Macaca fascicularis: one gene and its partners. The protein of the gene in region 2 binds, or shares a complex with, the protein of the main gene of each other region. Links are inferred from orthologs where the notes say so. Each region holds a gene or a part of one and is shown on either strand. Other genes may lie near its edges. The genes, in order: CTNNBL1, BCAS2 and RBM22.

The links.
Region 1: BCAS2 (region 2) and CTNNBL1 share a complex: the UniProt entries of both Homo sapiens proteins name them as parts of the PRP19-CDC5L splicing complex. The link is inferred for Macaca fascicularis from reciprocal best matches to the Homo sapiens genes BCAS2 and CTNNBL1.
Region 3: BCAS2 (region 2) and RBM22 share a complex: the UniProt entries of both Homo sapiens proteins name them as parts of the postcatalytic spliceosome P complex. The link is inferred for Macaca fascicularis from reciprocal best matches to the Homo sapiens genes BCAS2 and RBM22.

Annotation. Positions count from the first base shown.
Region 1 is NC_088384.1:93,894,657-93,901,397, reverse strand, and holds part of CTNNBL1 (beta-catenin-like protein 1), read right to left. Parts: intron 5,805-6,741; coding exon 5,732-5,804; intron 5,493-5,731; coding exon 5,434-5,492; intron 3,945-5,433; coding exon 3,796-3,944; intron 1-3,795. UniProt on the Homo sapiens protein: Component of the PRP19-CDC5L complex that forms an integral part of the spliceosome and is required for activating pre-mRNA splicing.
Region 2 is NC_088375.1:119,786,820-119,794,181, reverse strand, and holds the start of BCAS2 (pre-mRNA-splicing factor SPF27), read right to left. Parts: upstream 4,799-7,362; 5' UTR 4,775-4,798; coding exon 4,682-4,774; intron 4,575-4,681; coding exon 4,482-4,574; intron 1-4,481. UniProt on the Homo sapiens protein: Required for pre-mRNA splicing as component of the activated spliceosome. Component of the PRP19-CDC5L complex that forms an integral part of the spliceosome and is required for activating pre-mRNA splicing.
Region 3 is NC_088380.1:157,573,182-157,579,922, forward strand, and holds the end of RBM22 (pre-mRNA-splicing factor RBM22), read right to left. Parts: intron 6,565-6,741; coding exon 6,464-6,564; intron 6,379-6,463; coding exon 6,206-6,378; intron 5,380-6,205; coding exon 5,179-5,379; intron 3,913-5,178; coding exon 3,748-3,912; intron 2,981-3,747; coding exon 2,892-2,980; intron 2,702-2,891; coding exon 2,570-2,701; intron 1,553-2,569; coding exon 1,422-1,552; 3' UTR 461-1,421; downstream 1-460. UniProt on the Homo sapiens protein: Required for pre-mRNA splicing as component of the activated spliceosome. Involved in the first step of pre-mRNA splicing.

The DNA of each region.
Region 1 (6,741 bases), on a different chromosome or scaffold from region 2:
TCAGACTGGGCAACATGGTGAAATCCCATCTTTGCCAAAAATATTTTTTAAAAATTAGCCAGGCCTGGTGGCATGCAAGGGAACTTTTGGGAGTGATAAAAAGGATCTGTAGATACGGCATTCTATATGGTAGCCACTGTGTAGCTACTGAGCATCTGAACTGTGGCTATTGTAACTGAGAAACTAAATTTTAAATACAATTTAAATAAATTTAAGTTTAAAATTTAAAAATTGATACCGGACTTATTGGAAAACATTTAAGTTTCTTTGGACAAACTTAAGTATGAGAATCTGTTTTCAACTCTAAATTTTATGAAATCTAAATACAAATCAAGTATTCTGATGAAAATTTAGCATCTGAATTGGGATGTAAATGTAAAATGTTCACTGGATTTTGAAAACTTAGTCTCAAAAAAATGAATGTGAAATGGCTTACTAATAATTTTGTTATATTGATTACATGTTGAAATAATTTTTGACTGTGTTAAATACATTATTAAAATTATTTTTGTTTCTTTTAACCCTTTAAATGTGGTAGCTACTAAAAATGTAAAATTACCTATCTCACATTACATTTCGACTTGATAGTGCTGTTCTACATCTTCACTGTGGCGGTGGAAACATCTGTCAAAACTGTACACTTAAAATGCATACATTTTGTTGTATAAAAATTATGCCTCAATAAAGTAGATAAAAATATTAAATTGGTAGCGAACATATGCTTGTGTGTGTGTGCACATATGTGTGGGAAGGAGGGCATATGTGGGAAGGAGGGAGTATGTATCAATGAGTATCTTGTTTGTGATCTTTCCTTATCAATAATCAGAAAGGAAAAAAATTCACTGAGTACATACATGCAAAAGTAACTGTTCTTCTGAAGAGTCACCATATTAAATTATATCATAGTTATTTAATGTGTGCTTCCCTCACTAGACTTTGAGTTTCTTAGAGGCAGGAACCCTGTTTTGTGCATCTCTGTATAAACCTAGCACTTAACATAGAAAGTTAACATAGTACCTTAGCAGTGTTTTGCAACTATAGAATTCTCCCAGATACTTTATAGAGTTTAATTCTGTCAAAATCCCTGTAAATATGGTATTATTAGTGCCAGTTTTCAGATGAAAAACTGAGAATGAGAAGGTCACAAAGGTTAAAGTAACTCACCAAATATCCAGAGCTAATAAGTGAAACAGCATGTTCCAAACCCACACTTACAAGTCCCAGGCCCATTCTTCCACCCTCCTCCATACTGCCACCTCTCCACGTGGCATTTCACAACTGTCTGATGAATGACTGAGTCAAAGTAAAGATTTGTATTTAGGGGCAATGGAACCACAGAAACTTTCCTGAACCTCTAGTGTTACAGCTTCTTAGTCTTGAATAGGCTCTCTCTAGACAAAGAGCCACCTGGCAGCTCTTACTAAAGATCAGAAAGGGTGACTATAGTATGGAAAAAAATATTCCATCCCAATTAAACTTTCCATTTGGGAGTCTGAAGAAGAAAAATAACACAGAACAAAGAGTATGGGAAAGAGAAAAAAGGAAATGCTGAATCTGCTAATATGGCTAATTAATGCAAAAGAATGAATATAACAGCAACTTCAGCATTCAAAAATGAAAAGTTAGGAGATCTAGAGAGGTACAGTTTCTAAGTCTTTTGGAGCTCTCCTTTAATTAGCCTCCCTGAATCTCAGCATTTCTGTTTGAATAATCCATGTTTCTGGTTATTTATTCAGCTCCCCACTGCTACGCAATACCAAGCCATATGCTACAGAAATATATCACTTCATATTTGCACTCAACCATCCAAAGACACTGGCAATTCAGACCTTTAAGAAGCTTAAGGAAAAGTCTCTTCAGACCATTGTGTTAAGGTTAGAAGACTCAAGAAGCCAAATGCATCTTCTATTTATGCTATTTACTTGAGAGAAGGTGGGTCATTTCAACAAAAGGACAAGCAATTAGAAGGGTAAGGGAGATAAACAAAAGACTCAAGAGAGTAAAACTAGCAAAAATCAGCTAAACACAAAAGGCCTCTGAGTAATTTCTCATGCCCCTCTCTGCACTTTAAAAAAAAATTGTTTTTAAAAGCAATTCCTTAAAGGAAGACTTCTGGTCAATGCAAGGTCTGGTACGCACTGGACAAATGAAGAGGTCTACTGTGCCTCCAGCCCTTCAGAAGCCTTTTAAGATGTTTTAGAAATAATACACAACAAGTCATCACTTAACATCACAGATAGACTTGGAAATGGCAACTTTAAGTAAAACGGGATATAGCAGGTCAGATCCTCAAATAATACCGTTGTAACAATGATCAGAAAAACTGGTTTCATTATACATCATTTCGCTTAAAGTTGTGGTTTCCAAGAATGTTATTGATGATGTTAAGGGAGAACATACTGTACCTGGATAATCCTAACATCCTTTTAAACACAAAAATGGTCACTGTAGAATTTGTTATAATAGCAAAACACTGGAAATATCCTCAACGCCAACAACAGAAGAATACTAACTAAGCCACAGTCCCTTGGAGGCCATGATGCAGTTACTGAAAACTCCCATGAAGATTATTCACAGCATGGGAAACAGCATGCTATGTTTGAAATGTCGCAATAAAGAAAATCGTATGTGTGGCAGGCTTAAAAAGTTGTTAAAAATTATAGAAAAAAGACTAAAAGAAAATATACACCCAAAGACAGGCTGTGTTTAGGTCACAGAACTGTTTTTCTAACTTTGTGGAGACAGAAATTCTGTCTTAGGTATTTCTGTGTATGCCCAGCACTTAACATAGTACCTTGTCAATGTTTTAATAGCAGTTTTGTATTTTAGTATCTAAATTCTATTTAACAAATATATATCACATTTCTGAAAAACATTTCCAAAGAAATATCTTAGTTCAACAGGGCTTTCAGTATACTTGAAGTTTTAAGACAGCAGACTCTGGCTCCATTTCTTTCTTTCTTGTTTTTTTCTTTAAATCTCAACTTCCTCCTTCTGTAGGGCACAATTTCATAATGACTAGAATCTTCCAACCACATAAACATGCTCATTTTTTTTTTTAAAGTCCCTTGACCCTATGGCACACTCTGGTTATCCTCTCAGCCTTCCCCCACACACTTCTCTACTCCCCTTCCTAGACAGGGTCTCAAGAATTATAAATATAAGCTTCCTCTTCCCTTTTTGCTTCTAACTTTAGGATTCTACAAAATAACTGTGAAACTAATATAAGATCCAATTTCAGGAATTAGAGTATAAATAATAAGACATACAAGGCAAGTACTATAAATAAAAGTTTCTGGAACTATCTTGCACATTTTCATATTTCCTAAGCTAGGCATACAGCACATGTACAACTCATTACTGAATGAGGAGTGAAAAATACAAATGATATACTGCTTTCAATAAAAATACAGAAAAACATATGGCATAGATAGGTCTATGTGATATATACAGAAAATCAGTTCAAGTTTAGAAGTAATGGCTAGATTTCCCCAAAACTAACACACTATGGGAAGGAGAGGAAAAACACCAATGTCTTTCAATGGAGCGGACATATTAGCAACCACCACAGTAGGGCACAAACAGAACACAATATACTTTTTATTCGTCTACTCTAACTTTAGGAAAGACCACATACCTACACAAACACATCCTCATGCTTGAAGACTTTACTCTTCAGGGTAAAGTCTAGGAAACCCAACAGAATAAATGACCATAGCTACATGCTCTTGAATTCAGGCTAACAGTGAAAAGTCAGGCAAAAAAGGTGGGAAAACTAGGACATTCAAAACATACCTGAGCATGAGATTCATCAGCTGAAGACCCTCGCCCTTCAGGAAGCGCTCACGGTTAGAACTAAGCATTAGACAGGAGCAGAGGGAATCAAACAGATTCTCCATCATCTCCTGCTCCTCAGCCGTGCTGGGATTGTGTCTTTTAAACACCTGTCAAGCAAAAACAGAACAAAGCACAGAACTATTAAGAGAACGTTTTTTCATGAGCCTCCATCCAACAATTTCTAAAACCTGTGGGTCATAACTCTACGGTTGAGGAAACAGAAGCTCACCAAACAAAATTCTCATCAGTTTCCATTTTAGAGAAACTAAATAATTCACATATATTAAATAAATGCAAAAAAAAAAAAAAAAAAAGCCAAAACACTCAACTGACCACTGGGTCCATCAGTAATTGACAGTTTCAGGCAAGCAGATTTTTTAAAAAACCAAAACCCAAATAAAAACCAAAACCTTTTTATTGTGAAATATAACACAGATACAGAACAACTCCATAAAGGACATATAAAACTAAATGAATGAAGTGAACACCCCTGAAATCATTATCCAGGATGAGAAACAACTTTGCCAACTACCCTCAAAGCCCTCCACTTGCCCAACCCAACCATATCTCATTTCTTCCCCTTCTAAAAGCAACCACAATCCAGGGGGGTGAAACATGGCTCAATATAAGGAAGCGTTTCCTGACAATCAAGGCCACTGAATTCCCTCACAGGGGAGTTGGGGTTTTAATTCATGGGAAGTGCTTACAGCAGAAGTCTTCTTTTTGCCAGAGATGTAAGGCATGTTAAGAGAAGCCTTTAAACAGTATATGCATACCCATATAGTCTACTAGGAGAAGATCAATAGTCTCACAGGAAAAGGACTAAGCACCTTCCCAGAACTGGAAACAGATTCACATTTCAAAGCTCTATTTTTGGGGTGGAGGCCAAGCCACTCAGGCTGCTGGCACCAAGATGGAAGCTGTATGCAAACTGACATCTCAGACTCTCCCAACACTCTCAAGATTTTATCCAAATGATCTATTTTCAGTCCTGTTTTTAGAATAACACAGATGAAACTTGTAAGAGGAAATCTTAACAGTATTTTCAGAATGCCAGCAGAATAACATTTCAACTGGATTTACATTTCTTACAGTGAGAAAATGGCAGTTTCCAAGTTCTCACTCCAGCCTTCAGCACCACATCCTCCCCTATCCTCCCCTTGACCCCCACCCCACTGCAGTGGAACTTGGACTCCTTGAGCTTATTCAGATCCTAAATGAACATACTCCATTTTCACAGCAGACTGAAAGGAAGGTTGGTGAACAATCTTGGGAGTGGGTCAAATGAAAATAATTTGGTATGCCTGGCCCAGAACATACACACTTAAGCAGGAGGCACATCTTTTTTGAGTTGACAATATCATATCAGAAGACGAAGAAAATTCATATCTGACACACAGTGATGTCTGGTCATAAAGAGCAAATGACTAAGAAAAGGAGGCAAACCATGTACCTCCATATAACCCTCAAACCTGCCAACATACGCCATATGGCTTGCAGCACATGGCTCATTCCTTCCCACAATTTCCAGCTCCACCTCCCATTCAAAGCCAGCCATGTATCTTAGAGCAGACAGGAAGCATAAGAATTACTCACAGATAACTGCTGAAGAAGCACATCGATTCCATCCAGCTCCCCAAGCAATTCCCTGTTTTCTAAAAGGGGGAAAAAATAGAGGAAGAAAAAAAAAATGAACCTAACTGTCAGATTTTACAGCCGTCTAACACTGATACATCAGCAAACAAAATCAATACAGCTTGACAGAGTACAAAAGCAGCACAGGGAGCGAGAGGGAGAGCAAGGGGATGCCAAAGGCAAGAGAGCTTGCTGTCATGATCTGAAACAAGCCTGGCTCCTATCCTAACAGAATATCAATACTGAGAGGGCGCCTCACCATCATTGTCCTGGAGCAGTATGGCCAGCACTTCACTGCAATACAGTTTGTTGGCATCGAAAGGCATCTTTGCCTATGGGGAAATAGGAGAAATGAGAAAAATGTTAAGAGGTCTTGCTTTCTTCCCCAGGACAAATTTTTCACGAGTACTACGATCTGAGTTAGAGAGAAGGAGAAGTTAGAAAGGGAAAAGGCAGTTAAGGGGAAAAACGTCGGCCTCTGCTCTCAAGAGACCAGAACCAAGTAAAGTGACAGACTGAAACAATGGTTCTCACACTCTTAATGCCCAGGTATTAAGGTTACCTCCTCGGTAAAGACTTCCAAGATTTCCCATTTTGAGTCCAGAGATTATATATGTCTCGCCCATAGTACTCAAATGTGAACTAGAAGAATGAGAGTTTTGAACTTTTAAGACTAAAACTCACCATGAAGCTTAATGCACAAGCTACAATCATGAAATTAGGCTATAAATTAGTTAATATATGAGCAGAGAAGTTGAAAAGAAAGCAATTCTTGATTAACTGAATATATTTATCACAAAGTAGTTCCTTCTGGATTTTTTTAATGCTTAAAATTTAATTTGAAATCATAAACCTATCTGCTTGCATGCCATAATCTGCCTATTATTTAAAAAGGAAACCACATTAAATATGCAAAAATGTGTTAATATTTTAACACCCAAATTACTACCCACAATTCTTTCCCTGCTGCATGGTCTGCTACTTGGGAGTTTCAGAGGGGACACATCTACTGCACAGACTATTTTTCATGGCTGTCCTCACTGTTGCTTCGGTAGTGAGACTTAAATATCTCACCATTATCACTGCCCCTTGGATGAAGGTGCACAGAGAGGAGCGAGTCTCAGTGATGTGTTTTTATTTATGGTGTCCATGATCCTTAAAATGCAGGCATGTAAACAATGACTATTAATCAGCAGCAACCTTTGCTACCTATCTGTGTTTTTGAAATGACAAAGAATTTCTGTACTTGGAAAAGACAAGGGAAGTATT
Region 2 (7,362 bases):
TCATATGGAAACTTAATCCCCAATGTAATAGTATTAAGAGGTGGGGTCTTTAAGAGGTGATTGGGTTATGAGGGCTCAACCCATTCATGGATTAATGAGTTATCACCAGAGTGGGTATGTTATAAAAGCCAGTTTGTCTTTCTCTTGTGTGCCCCTACGTGCCATGTAATGCTCTGTGCTGCTTCAGGACTGTACACCAAGTACACATCAGCAAGAACGCCCTCACCAGATGCAGCCTGTGAACCTTACTTACACTTTCCAGCCTCCAGAAATCTAAGAATTTTTTTTTTTTTTTTTCACGATGAAGTCTCACTCTTGTCCCCCAGGCTGGAGAGCAATGGCGCAATCTTGGCTCATTGCAACCTCTGCCTCCCAGGTTCAAGCGATTCTCTTGCCTCATCCTCCCGAGTAGCTGGGATTACAGGTGCCTGCCACCACGCCCAGCTAATTTTTGTATTTTTAGTAGAGACAGGGTTTCACCATGTTGGCCAGGCTGGTCTTGAACTCCTGACCTCAGGTGATCTGCCCGCCTCAGTCTCCCAAAGTGTCTTTTCTTTATATTCACTATCTTCTCTAGCAATTTTACTGTTTGCCAAGTAAATGTAGTATGGCTATTCCTCTTTAGGGATGTTTTGGCCAATATCTTATCCCATTTCCGTTCTGCACATTTCCTACCCTGAGTATAAAGAACTGCTTAAAATATTTGTTTGTAGTAATACTTCAGTTATTCCATGTAATTTTAATTTTCTGAGGGCTTCAACTATCTTAACAATTAGACTAGAGAATAAGTATCAAAGGCCTTACAGAAGCCTGCATTAATGTTTAAAAGTTTTGTATTAGGCCGGGTGAGGTGGCTCACGCCTGTAATCCCAGCACTTTGGGAGGCCGAGGTGGGTGGATCACGAGGTCAAGAGATTGAGACCATCCTGGCCAAGATGGTGAAACCTTGTATCTACTAAAAATACAAAAACTAGCTGGGCATGATGGCACGTGCCTGTAATCCCAGCTACTTGGGAGGCTGAGGCAGGAGAACTTCTTGAACCCGGGAGGCGGAGGCTGCAGTGATCCAAGATCGCGCCACTGCACTCCAGCCTGGCAACAGAGTGAGACTCCATCTAAAAAAAAAAAAAAAAAAAAAAAAATTTGTATTAAGCATTTCTTTCTGGAGAAAGCATTTTGCAGGCGCTACTGCTAAATTACACATAATCTTAAGAAAATGTAGTTATCTAGTTTCCTGCAAAAAATACCAAGGCATTTTAGCTAGAAAATTCTGCAGTGACAAAGAGTAACAGCTAATAATTAAACAAGAGGCAGTATAAAAATGTATAAGTAGTCTTGAGCCATACAGCACAGGAGGAACCCTTAACTAACTCACATGCTCAGTAAGTGATAGATCTGGAATTTTAGCTCAGCTCTCTCCAAAGACTAAGCCAGTGTTCATGGAGCTAAGTCATGGGCGGCGGGGTCGGTGGGGGAAATCCCTGCTCATGGAGTAGTCTCATCTCAGCTTTGAGAGGCCTTCCTCAACCACCCAACCTAGAGTCACCCAGTCACTTTATCACTATCATTCTCTGTGCAGCATTTATCAACAATTTTTCTGATCTATTTATTGTCCGTCTCAACACTCTAGATTGTAAGGTTCATAAGTATGGACCCTGCCGATACTGTTCTCCAATATCCAGCATGGAATAGACCTTCGTAAATAGTTGTTAAGTGAATTAATGAAAGAGTAATTTCAAAGGCAGTTTGAAGAATGGTTAAGGTCTTAGTCAATGAGCCTTTCTAAGCTGCAGTTTTCCCAGCTAAAAAAATGGGGATAGTGAACATAGTTATATAGTTTATAGAGCTGTTTTGTGCACCAAGAAAGACAGTGAGCCCAGTATACATTACCAACTATTACTAAGAAAGGATGCCAAGTGTGGTGGCTCACACCTGTAATCCCAGTACTTTGGGAGGCCGAGGCAGGTGAATCACTTGAGGTCAGGAGTTCGAGATCAGCCTGGCCACAATGGTGAAACCCTGTCTGTACTAAAAATACAAAAATTAGTTGGGCATGGTAGTGCATGCCTGTAATCCCAGCCACTTGGGAGGCTGGGGGAGGAGAATCGCTTGAACCCAGGAGGCAGAGGTTGCAGTGAGCCAAGGAGTTGCATGCACTCCAGCCTAGGCGACAGAGCAAGACTCTGTCTCAAAAAAAGAAAGGATTAAATAATCAGTAAACTAATTACAGGAGAATCATTTGAACCCAGGAGTTTGCTAATTAAATAATCAGTAAACTAATTACAAAGGTATTTGAGAGAAGGAAAAAAACTGGCAAAAGTATTATAAGAAGTCTGTGATTGAATGCAGTTATTTGAAAACGTCAGAAATCAGTCCAAGAAGCATTACTGTACTTAATTCTCTTTTTTTTTTTTTAATGAGATGGAGTCTCGCTCTGTCGCCCAGGCTGGAGTGCAGTGGCGCCATCTTGGCTCACTGCAAGCTCCGCCTCCCGGGTTCAGGCCATTCTTCTGCCTCAGCCTTCTGAGTAGCTGGGACTACAGGCACCCGCCACCATGCCCAGTTAATTTTTTGTATTTTTAGTAGAGGATGGTCTCGATTTCCTGACCTCGTGATCCACTCGCCTCAGCCTCCCAAGGTGCTGGGATTACAGGTGTGAGCCACTGTACTTAGTTCTTAACGTGGTTAACATCTACACCTAGGTAACAATATTTGGAAAAAGCATAGGAAAACACGTTCATAGAAACATATGTCTTCTACTTAAAACTTAGCCAAGGCAGGGCGTGGTGGTTCACCCCGTATCCCAACACTTTGGGAGGATGAGGTGGGCGGATCACTTGAGGCCAGGAGTTCAAGAAAAGCCTGGCCAACGTGGTGACACCCCATCTCTACTGAAAATACAAAAATTAGCCAGGCATGGTGGCAGGCACCTGTAATCCTAGCTGCTCGCGAGGCTGAGGCAGGAGAATCACTTGAGCTCGGAAGGTGGAGGTTGCAGTGAGCAGAAATGGCACCACTGCACTCCAGGCTGGGTGACAGAGTAAGACTCCGTCTCAAACAAAAACAACAAACTTAACTATTTTTTCACGTTACTTTAATGTAAATAATATCTTTTTTTTTTTTTCCCTCTGAGACAGGATCTCAGTCTGTCGCCAGGCTGGAGCGCAATGGTATTATCATGGCTCACTGTAGCAGCCTTGAACTTCCAGGCTCAAGTGATCCTTCCACCTCAGCCTCCTGAGTGGCTTGGGCTACAGGTGCATGCCATCATGCTTGGCTAATTTTTTAGTTTTTCTTTTGTAGAGAAAGGGTCTCACTATGCTGCACAGGCTGGTCTCAAGTGATCCTCACACCTCAGCCTCCTAAAGTGCTGGGATTACAGGTGTGAGCCACCACACCCAGCTAAATACTGCCTTTTAATAATACAATCCTTTCATAAATAAACGATTAGGTATAATGGGAAAAAAACCTCCAAGTTGTACATATTGAAATACTTGAATCCAATAATTTAGAAATAACTTACATTTCACTTAGCTAATTAGACCCTAACTAGAATCTTGGGTGTACTTCAAGGTTATACATTTAAAATAGTATCATACTCACTGTGTGCAGTAGAACAGCATCTGACTCCCTAGGCAAGCATGGGCACTCCTTTCTCTAATTCTCTTGTCCTTATATATACCTCCACTACAGGTCCTTTACATATTATTACACATTTATACATACTATTGTAAACTTTCTGTTTTATATATCTAGCTCCTCATTGTATTGTATTTTTCTGTATTCAGAAACCCTATCTTTTTTTGGAGACGATGCTTGTCTTAAATAAAGAAAAGAAAAATTAAAATACAGCAAAATACATATTTTTTTAAAACCCAGATATTTTTATCTCTATGATTTCAGAATCTAGAATGGCACCTAGCACTTGGAAAGTATTCGTATCAGGGAAAGTTCTTGCCTACATTAATCAGAACTGTGTTAATAAAAACATCGGACAGATTATAGAAAAAAGGAGAAGGCTGAGAAAAGAGTAGTATACACTTGGATATGGTTTGTCCCTTCAGTCATACCACAAACGTTTGGTAAATAACTAGACTTTAATACGCCACTCTCCAGTGGTTCTAAAGAGCTTAGGTAATTAGGCTTATACATACTAAAAAATTCTAGATCACCTGCTGTAGAGTGACTCTTGGCAGGAGAGGGTCCCTTTGAGAATTTACGCATGGATCCTATCTCAAAGAATTGTGGCCACAAATTTTTGCATTAAGTGAGTCGTGGAGTCCCAGAAAGTCTTCCTATGGATCTTAGAATAAGAACCTCGGAGAAGACTTATCTATCTAGCTGTTTTCAACAGACTGGTACCTATGCAGGCAATGGTTAAAACTGGAATTTAAAAATCACTTTTACGTAGCTGAAGCTCTCAATCCAAAATAAAGGTTCACAGGAATCCTCGTTCATACCCGGGGTCAAGACATACTTACTTCAAAGGCAGAATAATCCGGGGCTGTTAGGTAGCTCAGGTAGTTCTTAGTAGGTCGGTATCTGCGAGTTTCCTCCTCCACCAGCGCTGCAGCCTTAGAAAGAGAATTGGGGCCAGGGTAGAAGCGGCAAATTGTAACATGTTTCTTTCGGTACCGAGCCAGCGAACAGTGAGTCAGCTACAAAGACACCCCGCACTCACCGCTTCCCGCACACCAGGGGCTTCATAACCTTGATCAAAATACGGCAGCGCATCCACCACAACCTCTCCGGCCACCAAACCCGTGCCCGCCATTCCGAGGACCTCAGGTTTGCCTGCGTTTTCTGCGTTTGCGTAAACTGAGTTCTATTTAGATACGCCGGCGCCTGACACTGATGTAATCACGTTCCCGGCATATTGACGTTCGCGCATGCTCAGTTGCTAATTTTGAAGGCGGGTCCGCCCGGTATCTAGAAATTGCCGGGCTGCTTTGTTTTGGGCGGACGTGACGTCAGTCTTGGCTTCATTGCGTCAGCGGAAGGCCTCAATTTCCTGTCTTCTGCTTACTGTATTTTTTTTGCCAGCGAATGGTGGCTATTTGAAGTTAGGGCTTTTCGTTTCCTCCAAAACATTGATATCTGGAACGGGAGCCCCTTAACACTTTCGGAGGGAACTGGCTGCAGGATTTGACGGGGAGAGATAACTGATTTCCCACCTCTGCTTACTGCCACCGTCTCCCCTTAATCTTCTCTTCCTCTGTGCCGGACTTCTTTCCTTTTTTATTATGGACACACGCTCTTGTTCTGCTGCCCAGGTTGGAGTGCAGTGGCGCGATCATAGTTCACTGCAGCCTCAACCCCCCCAGGCCCAAGCGATCCTTCCACCTCAGCCTCCTGAGCCGCTGGGCCTAGAGGTGCACACCACCACGCCTGGCTAATTTTTAATTTTTTTTTTTTTTTTTCGAGACGGAGTCTCACTCTGTCGCCCAGGCTGGAGTGCAGTGGCGCGATCTCGGCTCACTGCAAGCTCCGCCTCCTGCGTTCACGCCATTCTCCTGCCTCAGCCTCCTAGTAGCTGGGACTACAAGGCGTCCGCCTCCATGCCCGGCTAATTTTTTGTATTTTTTGTATTTTCACCGTGTTAGCCAGGATGATCTCGATCTCCTGACCTCGTGATCCGCCCGCCTCGGCCTCCCAAAGTGCTGGGATTATAGGCTTGAGCCACAGCGCCCGGCCATTTTAAAATTTTTTTGTAGAGTTGGAGCCTTCCTATGTTGCCAAGGCTGGCCTCAAGCTATCCTCTCGCCTAGGCCTCCTAAAATGTGGGGAATACAGGCGTAAGCCACTGCACCCGGGGTCGTTCCTCTTTTACTTCCTTGCTGTACCCCGACTATCCTCCCCCCTCGCCACCCTGAAAACCTTTGCATTGGATAAGTACAATTCTTAAAGAGGCTCTAGAATTGGGCGCCAGTCTCCAATTAAAATTGTGAAGCTTTATGGTCTGAGTATCAAAAGGAACCTCAGTTCCTTAAAAATCCTGCCATTTTGGCTTTAGGACTTAAACGGTAATAGAATGGCACTCCTGTCTCCAAACCATTCAAGCTGCTGCCCATGCACTTTGTCTTCTTCATGGCTCCTGGACTAAGCAGCCTCCCTTTGATTAAGCAGTTAAAGACCAAATAAAGTTGTCAGACTATATACCCTGCCCAGTGTGCGGTCTAGACCCAGGCTTTGTCTGCCAAGAGCCTCGAAATGTTGACCTCCATTATTAAGCCTGATCAATCTAAGACTAATTCTTATTACTTAAGTACCATTAGGTAAATGTGCTAGCTGTAGATTTAAGTGACATAAAAGATCTTTACATCTTAAGAATTCTCCAAGGGATCTGTGGGGTTTTTATGTATTTATTCATTAAAAGATCTGTAAACAACATTTTATACAAATCTTGATTCTTTTACAAAAATATCCAGAATTCATAACACTTTACAGAAACAAAACACAACAGACCTAAGGAAATGAAGCAGCTTCAGGCTGCAAAGATGAAGACAGCATTCCTGAAGCGCAAAGGTCTCCTCCTAAAGGGATAGCCAGGATCCATCATAGTAAACCCTTTTACCCCCATTTTATAAACATCCAATTATTAACTGTTCCCGCTGGGTTGCAGTGTAAGAAGAGACCAAATGGAGAGATGTCTAGTAGAAGCCCCATTAGGGTAACCTGCTTAACATTTAAAAAAAGGCTCAGTTCTATTCCCTGGACCCACATCTGTAGGAATTATATTATACAGCACCAGTCTTAAATGGTGTTCTGCTTCAGGTTCATGCATACCTGAATGGGTTGTAATGAAATACTGTGCAAGTCAATAAACTGTATCACAATACAACTTAACAGTTTTGTAAGGCTGAATAAATACTTTCTGTGCCAGTTGAAACCATCAGCAGAAACTGAAGAAAACAAACTGACATTTGCTATAGCATTAATAAATGAAAAGTGCACCATCTGAACTTGAATTTGCCCATTAATTTGAAAAAACAAAACAAACAAAAAAAAACAGGCCCGGTGCACTGACTCATGCCTGTAATCCCAGCACTTTGGGAGGCCAAGGTGGGTGGATCACCTGAGGTCAGGAGTTCGAGACTAGCTTGGCCAACATGGTGAAACCCCGTCTCTACAAAAAATACAAAATTAGCCAGGTGTGGTGGTGGGCACCTATAATTCCAGCTACACGGGAGGCTGAGGCAGGAGAATTGCTTGAACCCAGGAGGCGGAGGTCTCAGTGAGCCGAGATCGTGCCATTGCGCTCCAGCCTGGGCAAAAAGAGCGAAACTCCGTCTTAAAACACACACACACACACAACATTGCACCATCACTGAAAAATTTCTCTTTCCAATCACTACTACTACT
Region 3 (6,741 bases), on a different chromosome or scaffold from region 2:
ATTTTATTTTTTAGAGACAGGATCTCACCATGTTGCCCAGGTTGGCCTTGAACTGCTGGCCTCAAGCAATCCTCCCACCTCAGCCTCTTAAGTAGCTGGCACTATCAGCATGCACCCAGCTGGGTGACTTCTTAAAGTTACCCTTTATCAACCACCATACACCAGGATCTATGCTAAGTGTTTCTGTGCACTATCTTATTTCAACCTCACAATCACCCTTTGAAGTAAGTACTAAAAAGGTCTGGGCCTTTTAAATCATCATGGAATCTAACCCAGGAATAGGCTGAGGTAAAAAAATAGTAAAATAAGTAAATCATCATGGAATGGATATAATCAAAAGTCTAAAGCAACATTTAAAAAATTTACAATATATAACTCATTTCTATTAAATAACTTCCACTGACCTCGAGTTCAGCTACCAAAGGATAAAGAGGAATCTAGAAATAAACCCATGACAACATTTCAAAAATTGACCCGTTTTAATTATTTAAAAACAAAAACACATCAAATTTCCTTTACCATCTACAATTCAGTTATATCCAAACACTCTAAGACCAAACAGAAGCAGGGATGACAATGAGACACTGAAGACACACGAAGGTGAATGCTGACGACTATCAGAGTCCCAGCAGGAGGTCACAAGTCTTTCATTCACACGCTCCAATGCTTTTCATTTGTTAAAGAACGTGTTTCACAGGAAGTTCTTTACAGTAATTTCATGCCAGACACCAGGTTTCTTCAATGGTACACAGCTCCATTAAATTTGTTTCCATCCAGTTGACAGGAATAAAAAGGAATTTTTAGTTTTGTCTTTTTTTTGGGCCGTAGAGACTTAAAATGGTCAGATTCCTTTAGGAATAAACGAGGAAAAGGAGAGGAAAGAAAAGATCTGGGCTGTGCTGGTGCTGGTTTCTACTCATCTTTCTGAGGGTGTGACTTCCAAAGAGTTAAATCACACTTAGGCCACTCCAATGATTAGTACTAGTTATCTTTTTTTTTTAACAGGATGAAAAGGAAAATACTCAATGGACATAAAAATGGTCAAAGGTTTTTTTTACCGCAGGTCAATTATTCCCCCGCCCAAAAAATATACAAAATGAACATATAATTGGGATGGTAACTCTGCTGGACATTCCAATTCACTCATCTGCTTGTCCCCCACACAGGTAAGGGGAACAGGCATTAGGCTTTATTAGTCGTGTTATAGCAGTAACCAGATGTGTTAACGGCAGCTTATTTACGGTCCATCAATCCTTTGAACATGTGTAGGAAAGCATGGCTGTCAGTCTCCGAATGCCCACATCTGAGCACATTCAGCTACCATGGAAACTACAAGGGAAGGACAAATATATTTATTCCAAGATTTACTGGGAGTTTTAAGTGCCCTTTCTTCCACAGAGCCCCAGAGTGGTGACAAGGTGCTAGGGGCTGCTGTGTTTCCCAGCGTGAGCTCCCATCCTCTGAGGGTCCTGAGAAGGATAGTGGATTGGTCCTGGAGCCCTCATGAAAGGAGGGGGTGGTCCCATTGGGTGAAACATGTGTGGCCCAAAACCTGCAGATACGAAAGAACAAATGTGTTAGGCTTGCAGTTTCCTTGATAACCTTTCAAACCTCTCAATCTTGCTAAGGTTAAAACCATCTACACATAAATCAAGGTTGACACCGGGCTTAAGCAAATGTCAGTTCACAAAACTTGCTTCCACCTGTTATTTCCTTGGTTTTAGAAACCTTTCCCCGCCAAGTCCAAAAAACTCCAGAGCACACAAGGTATCGCCTAGTATGTCGTCTGAGTCTCTGCTATGTATCCAACACGCCAAATCCTACCAGACAGGAGTCAGTCAGGATTTGGGAGATAAGGAAGAAATCAGGCTGATGGCAAGACTGTGTCATCATTAACCTTAATGCCTGACACCAGGATGGAGGGGGTTCAGAAACCAGATTCACTTCAGAGTATGGGCTCTCTGCCACAGGAGAACTGGCTACCTGTGATTTCCTTCCACTGTTAACGCTGTCTAGAGCAGTGCTATACAAAGTGCCAGTCTTCCACCTATTTCTGGCCACTGAAAAGACAAAGAGCTTGAGTCAGAATGTAAATCATATGATCAGGCAGAGTTTAGTTCATCTGACAGTTTTTTTGGTAACAAGACTTTCTCAATGAAGGAAGGGGTTCACTGATTTACATTTCGGCACAAGCTCCTGATCTGGTGGCAGACAGATGATAAACACTTTGTAAAATGACACCCACTCACAGCCCACACTGAGCAATAGTGCTCTAGGGCATCCATTAGCATTCAGTTTAGAAAAGGGAACAAATTGGTGATAGATCTTTGTAATCTAATAATCTTACTCTGATGACACATATACTCGGATCTTTAGAAAACTGGCCCCTTTCTTCTCCTTGGCAGAGCAGGAGAAAAAAAAATATCAGAAATCCCAACAGATCAACTTTACTTATAGACTTCTACAGAGCAAACTCACAGGATTTGGACGTGTTGAACGTGATGGTGACGTTTATGAGACAGAACTTTCACAAGGATTTCTCTGGGCTAAGAAGGAAGATGGAAGTTACCTGGGGGAGGAGGTGGAGCAATACCAGGGGGCGGTGGCAGAGCAATGTTCACCACAGCTGGAGGACCACTTGGGGGCAAGTTGAAGTAGTTGGCAGAGGCTTCTTCTTCTGCCGCAGGAGGAGGAGGAAGAGCTGGAGGAGAGAACATAGTCAACACATAGAGGGGAGAACAACTGTGCAACAGTTTTTACCACCTTTACATTCTCAGAGGTCCTATTGGGAGAGCAGAGTGGCAACGAGAACAAGACCTGGGTCCCGTCTTCCAAAATAGGAACATCAGGGCAGACGGAGCTTCTGAAGTCAGCAGGAAGTCTGCACTCACCTCCTGGCAATCCTGGAACAGGTTCTAGTTTGATCCCAGAGTCTGTAGTTCCGTCTTTCTCTTTTTCTTTTCCTCTGGCTGCTTGGGATCTGGGAAACACACATGCATACAGTTGGCACTTTGGCCCACCTTATCTCACACGTCTGCTTCCTAAATTCCTCAGTCCAATGGAGTTCCTTTGCCCTACCTCCTCCTCAGCACACACTTTTCCCATAAATGCCACTGTGCACAGTGAATAAGAGCAAAGGTTTTGACACCAGAAAAGACCTGGGTTCAAAACCTGCTAGAACTATCATAAGGACCAGAAGAGGCAACACATACATGTTTAGCACTGTGCTTACCACATAGGGAGCTCTCCACAAAGGCAGATGCTGCTATTAGCCATCTCTTCCCTGGTTCCAAGTCGGAGACATGTTCCCCCTTTGAACTGAGTCTTTCGCCTGTGTCTCTCTTATGCAATCATCACTTTTAAACTTAAAATAGCGATTCTTCCTTGTTTTATCTTCTCCATTGGACAATCAGCCTCCAAAGGCAGAATCTAGGTCTAATTCATTTATAAACCCTGAAACTCACCTTTCATGCCCTGGCTATTATACCTGGCCTATAATAGCTAGTCACAAAAACATGAAACTTCAAAGGAGCAGATTATACAACAAACCCCTGAATACATTTCCAAAGCAGGGTTCTCCCAACATCCACAGGAATCAAGTATCAAACAGAGAGTGACTTTTGAAAGATCTCTTTAAAGATCCTATTCATTTAAGCCTGTTAATCAATAGCCTCCTAGTCTCCAGACAATGACATAGTTTCTTAAAAATGTGAGCAAAATGTCACTTAAAAATAGTTTAATTCTCACCTTCCCCATTTCACATTCAGTCTGCGCCCATTTACAATCAACTTATTAAAGGACTTCTCAGCAGCCACTTCTGCAGCTTGCCTTGTGGCAAACTGGATGAAAGCACACTGCTGTCTCTGCACAACAGTGATCGTCCGGATCTCTCCAAACTGGTAGAAATGATTTCTGAAGGGATACAGGCAGAAAAAAAATGAAAATGGGAGTGAACAAAGATGTTCCCAAGAGACTGAAAATGGATTAACTTTCAGTGACACACCACTAGGCAGGTGGGCCCCAAGGTTATCTACCTAACTACCCTCAGGTCTTCCCTCCCATATCTTGTCCTAATGTGGGTGCTGCTTATTGAGAGAAGGAAAGAGAAATGAGTAAATAAAGGTTCTCAAACATCTCAGGGTTTTTTCCCCATGGAGGAAAGGGAGTTCTAATAGGTTCCTTAAAGTTCCTAAATCCTAGATAAGGGGTTGGCAAACTACAGCTCTCAAGGCCCATGAGCCAAGAGTGTTTAAAACAAGAATATGTGACAGAGACTGCATGTGGCCCACAATGCCTAAAATATTCACTATCCAGCCTCTTACAGCAAAAGTCTGCCAACCCCTGGGGGTTGTCTAGCTCACTCAGATAGGGTTTAACGGAGACAGGCTACCAAGGGCAGGTTATAAACTTACAGGAGTTTCTTCTCCACTTTATCTCTTTGGAAGAGGTAATTTCCATTACTATCTGCCCAGATGTCTCATCTAGCCAAGCATAATACAAGCCAAAAATAATACAAATGTATCAAATGCCAGTCTCTTTAAAAAGCCAACAATTTAAACCATAAGAGTTTTATCATCACAAAGCTCTCCCTCCTCTACATAATTAATCATACTTGGATGCGTGCCATCCTTTAAAACCTGGCTGTTAGGTCAAATAGAATTCTGTGTCATTATTACCATACGCCAGGATGGATAAGCACTTTTTGTGCTTTGGTTTTGAGATAGGGTCTCACTCTGTTGCTTAAGCTAGAGTGCAGTGGCGCAATCACAGCTCACTGTAGCCTTGATCTCCCAAGCTCAAGCCATCCTCCTGCCTCAGTCTCCCAAACAGCTGGGACTACAGGCACAAGCCACCACACCCGGCTAATTTTTTTGATTTGTTAAGAGGGATGGGGTCTCACTATGTTGCTCAGGTTGGTCTCAAACTCCTCGGCTCAAGAGATCCTCCCAAAGTGTTGAGATTACAGGCATGAGGCACTGTGCCCAGCCAGATAAGCACATTATTACTGTGGCACCATAAAGGACAATTTTACAAAAATTCCAGTCAGCATGATACTAACAGTAGAGAGACTAAAGAAAAATGGATTTTGTACAGAATGATCATCCTTGCAGTTTTTGCAAATAAATTATCCCAGGGCAGTTAAAGGCAAAAATAACTCTTTAACTTATACCCACAAACCTTAAATCTGTCTCAGTAATGGTATCACCTAGACCACCAACATATAGTGTAGTGATAGTTTTATCCTCTGGTGGGTCCAGCCGAGGCATTGTTGAAGCCCGCTTTAGAAGCTTGTCAGCTACAGGATCATTGATTCCGTAATATCGATCTTTAATATTCTGATCAGCAAGGGGGTCATCTGGATCTGTAGGCTTCTCATGTCTATGATTCAAGAAAAAAACAAGGCATAAAGGTGAAACAAAGGTGAAAAAATGGTATCTTCCAAGAATAGCTACATATTAAAGTCCTAGATACACATTCTGAAGTGCCTTTTGAACTAGAAACTATGGTTTCTACCAAAATACAATTACCAAAATAGACCTAATACCAAGAGATTTACTGTATGACAAAAGGAATTCCTAGCCTCCTAAAAGCCATTAGGCCATCTAGGATGCCAAACTTTCCTTATAAATAAAAACTCTTGACATGATCCGCCCCCTCCTGCCCCCTAGAAAGGGACACATGATTACCCCTCTCTAGGTCAATGATTCTTAACACATTTGGGGTATTGTATTCCACTGAGAATCTGATTAAAGCTATGGACCTAGCTCCAGAGAAAGCACATATATTATTTTTTAGGGGGTAGGGTTAACTAATCCCAAATTTAAGAACTCCTAATACAGATGCTTGGCAGTCTTAACCAAAACATACACACCCTTTAGTAGTCTGACCTTACTTTGACTTCAACTATACATTGAGAGTCAAGTGTTTAAATCATGGCAGTGAAGATGTACTTCTCAGGTAGAAATGTTTAAGGCCAGCATCCATATTGTATGGCATAGCAATTTAGTTTCCAAGGCTCAATTGTAAGTAAAAACTACAATTTATTCATGCTCTTCTAAATTTCATAGTTCTAAGACATCAGATACACCACATTGGTTGTATGACCTTTAGATTTTAAAGCAGAAACAGTTTAAGCTAGCACCTCCCATTTCTTAGATGAGAAATCATCTGAAAGCAAATACTGAAAATGAGGCTCGGCTCTTGCCTGTATGGACATTCCTCTCCTCTCTTACACTCTCCTTTCACCCAGAAGGAGCAAATGTGGGGTCGATTCCTTTTGTAGTAGGGTGTGGTCCGGGCCAGTTTGAGCAGCATGTCACTGGTAGATGTGGCTTTCCCCAGCATGCCAACTGGCCGTGTTCCATCAGAGTTAGAAATCTAAGTGAGGATGACAAATTCAAAAGATAAATTATGCAGACTGTGTCAATTCATTAGGATTTTTACCCAAAAAGTGGCAGCATACCTCTCTCTCCATATTCTGTGTATAGTACTCTTTGTTGACATCTGACTTTGGCATGTCATCTTTAAAAGATAATCCCGCGTCACGAACCTGGATGGGCAGACCTGGTACAAAAAAAGAGGAGAGAGACCTCAGATGTATTTTAAAACATATCCATACTAACCACGCACACAGAATACATCACCTTTCCCTTCCCCTCCTTCCTATTTAGTACCAGAGACCTTACTATGTTTCTATTCAAACTCTTTAGCACCATCAGGTTACTTCTGCTACACAGCATG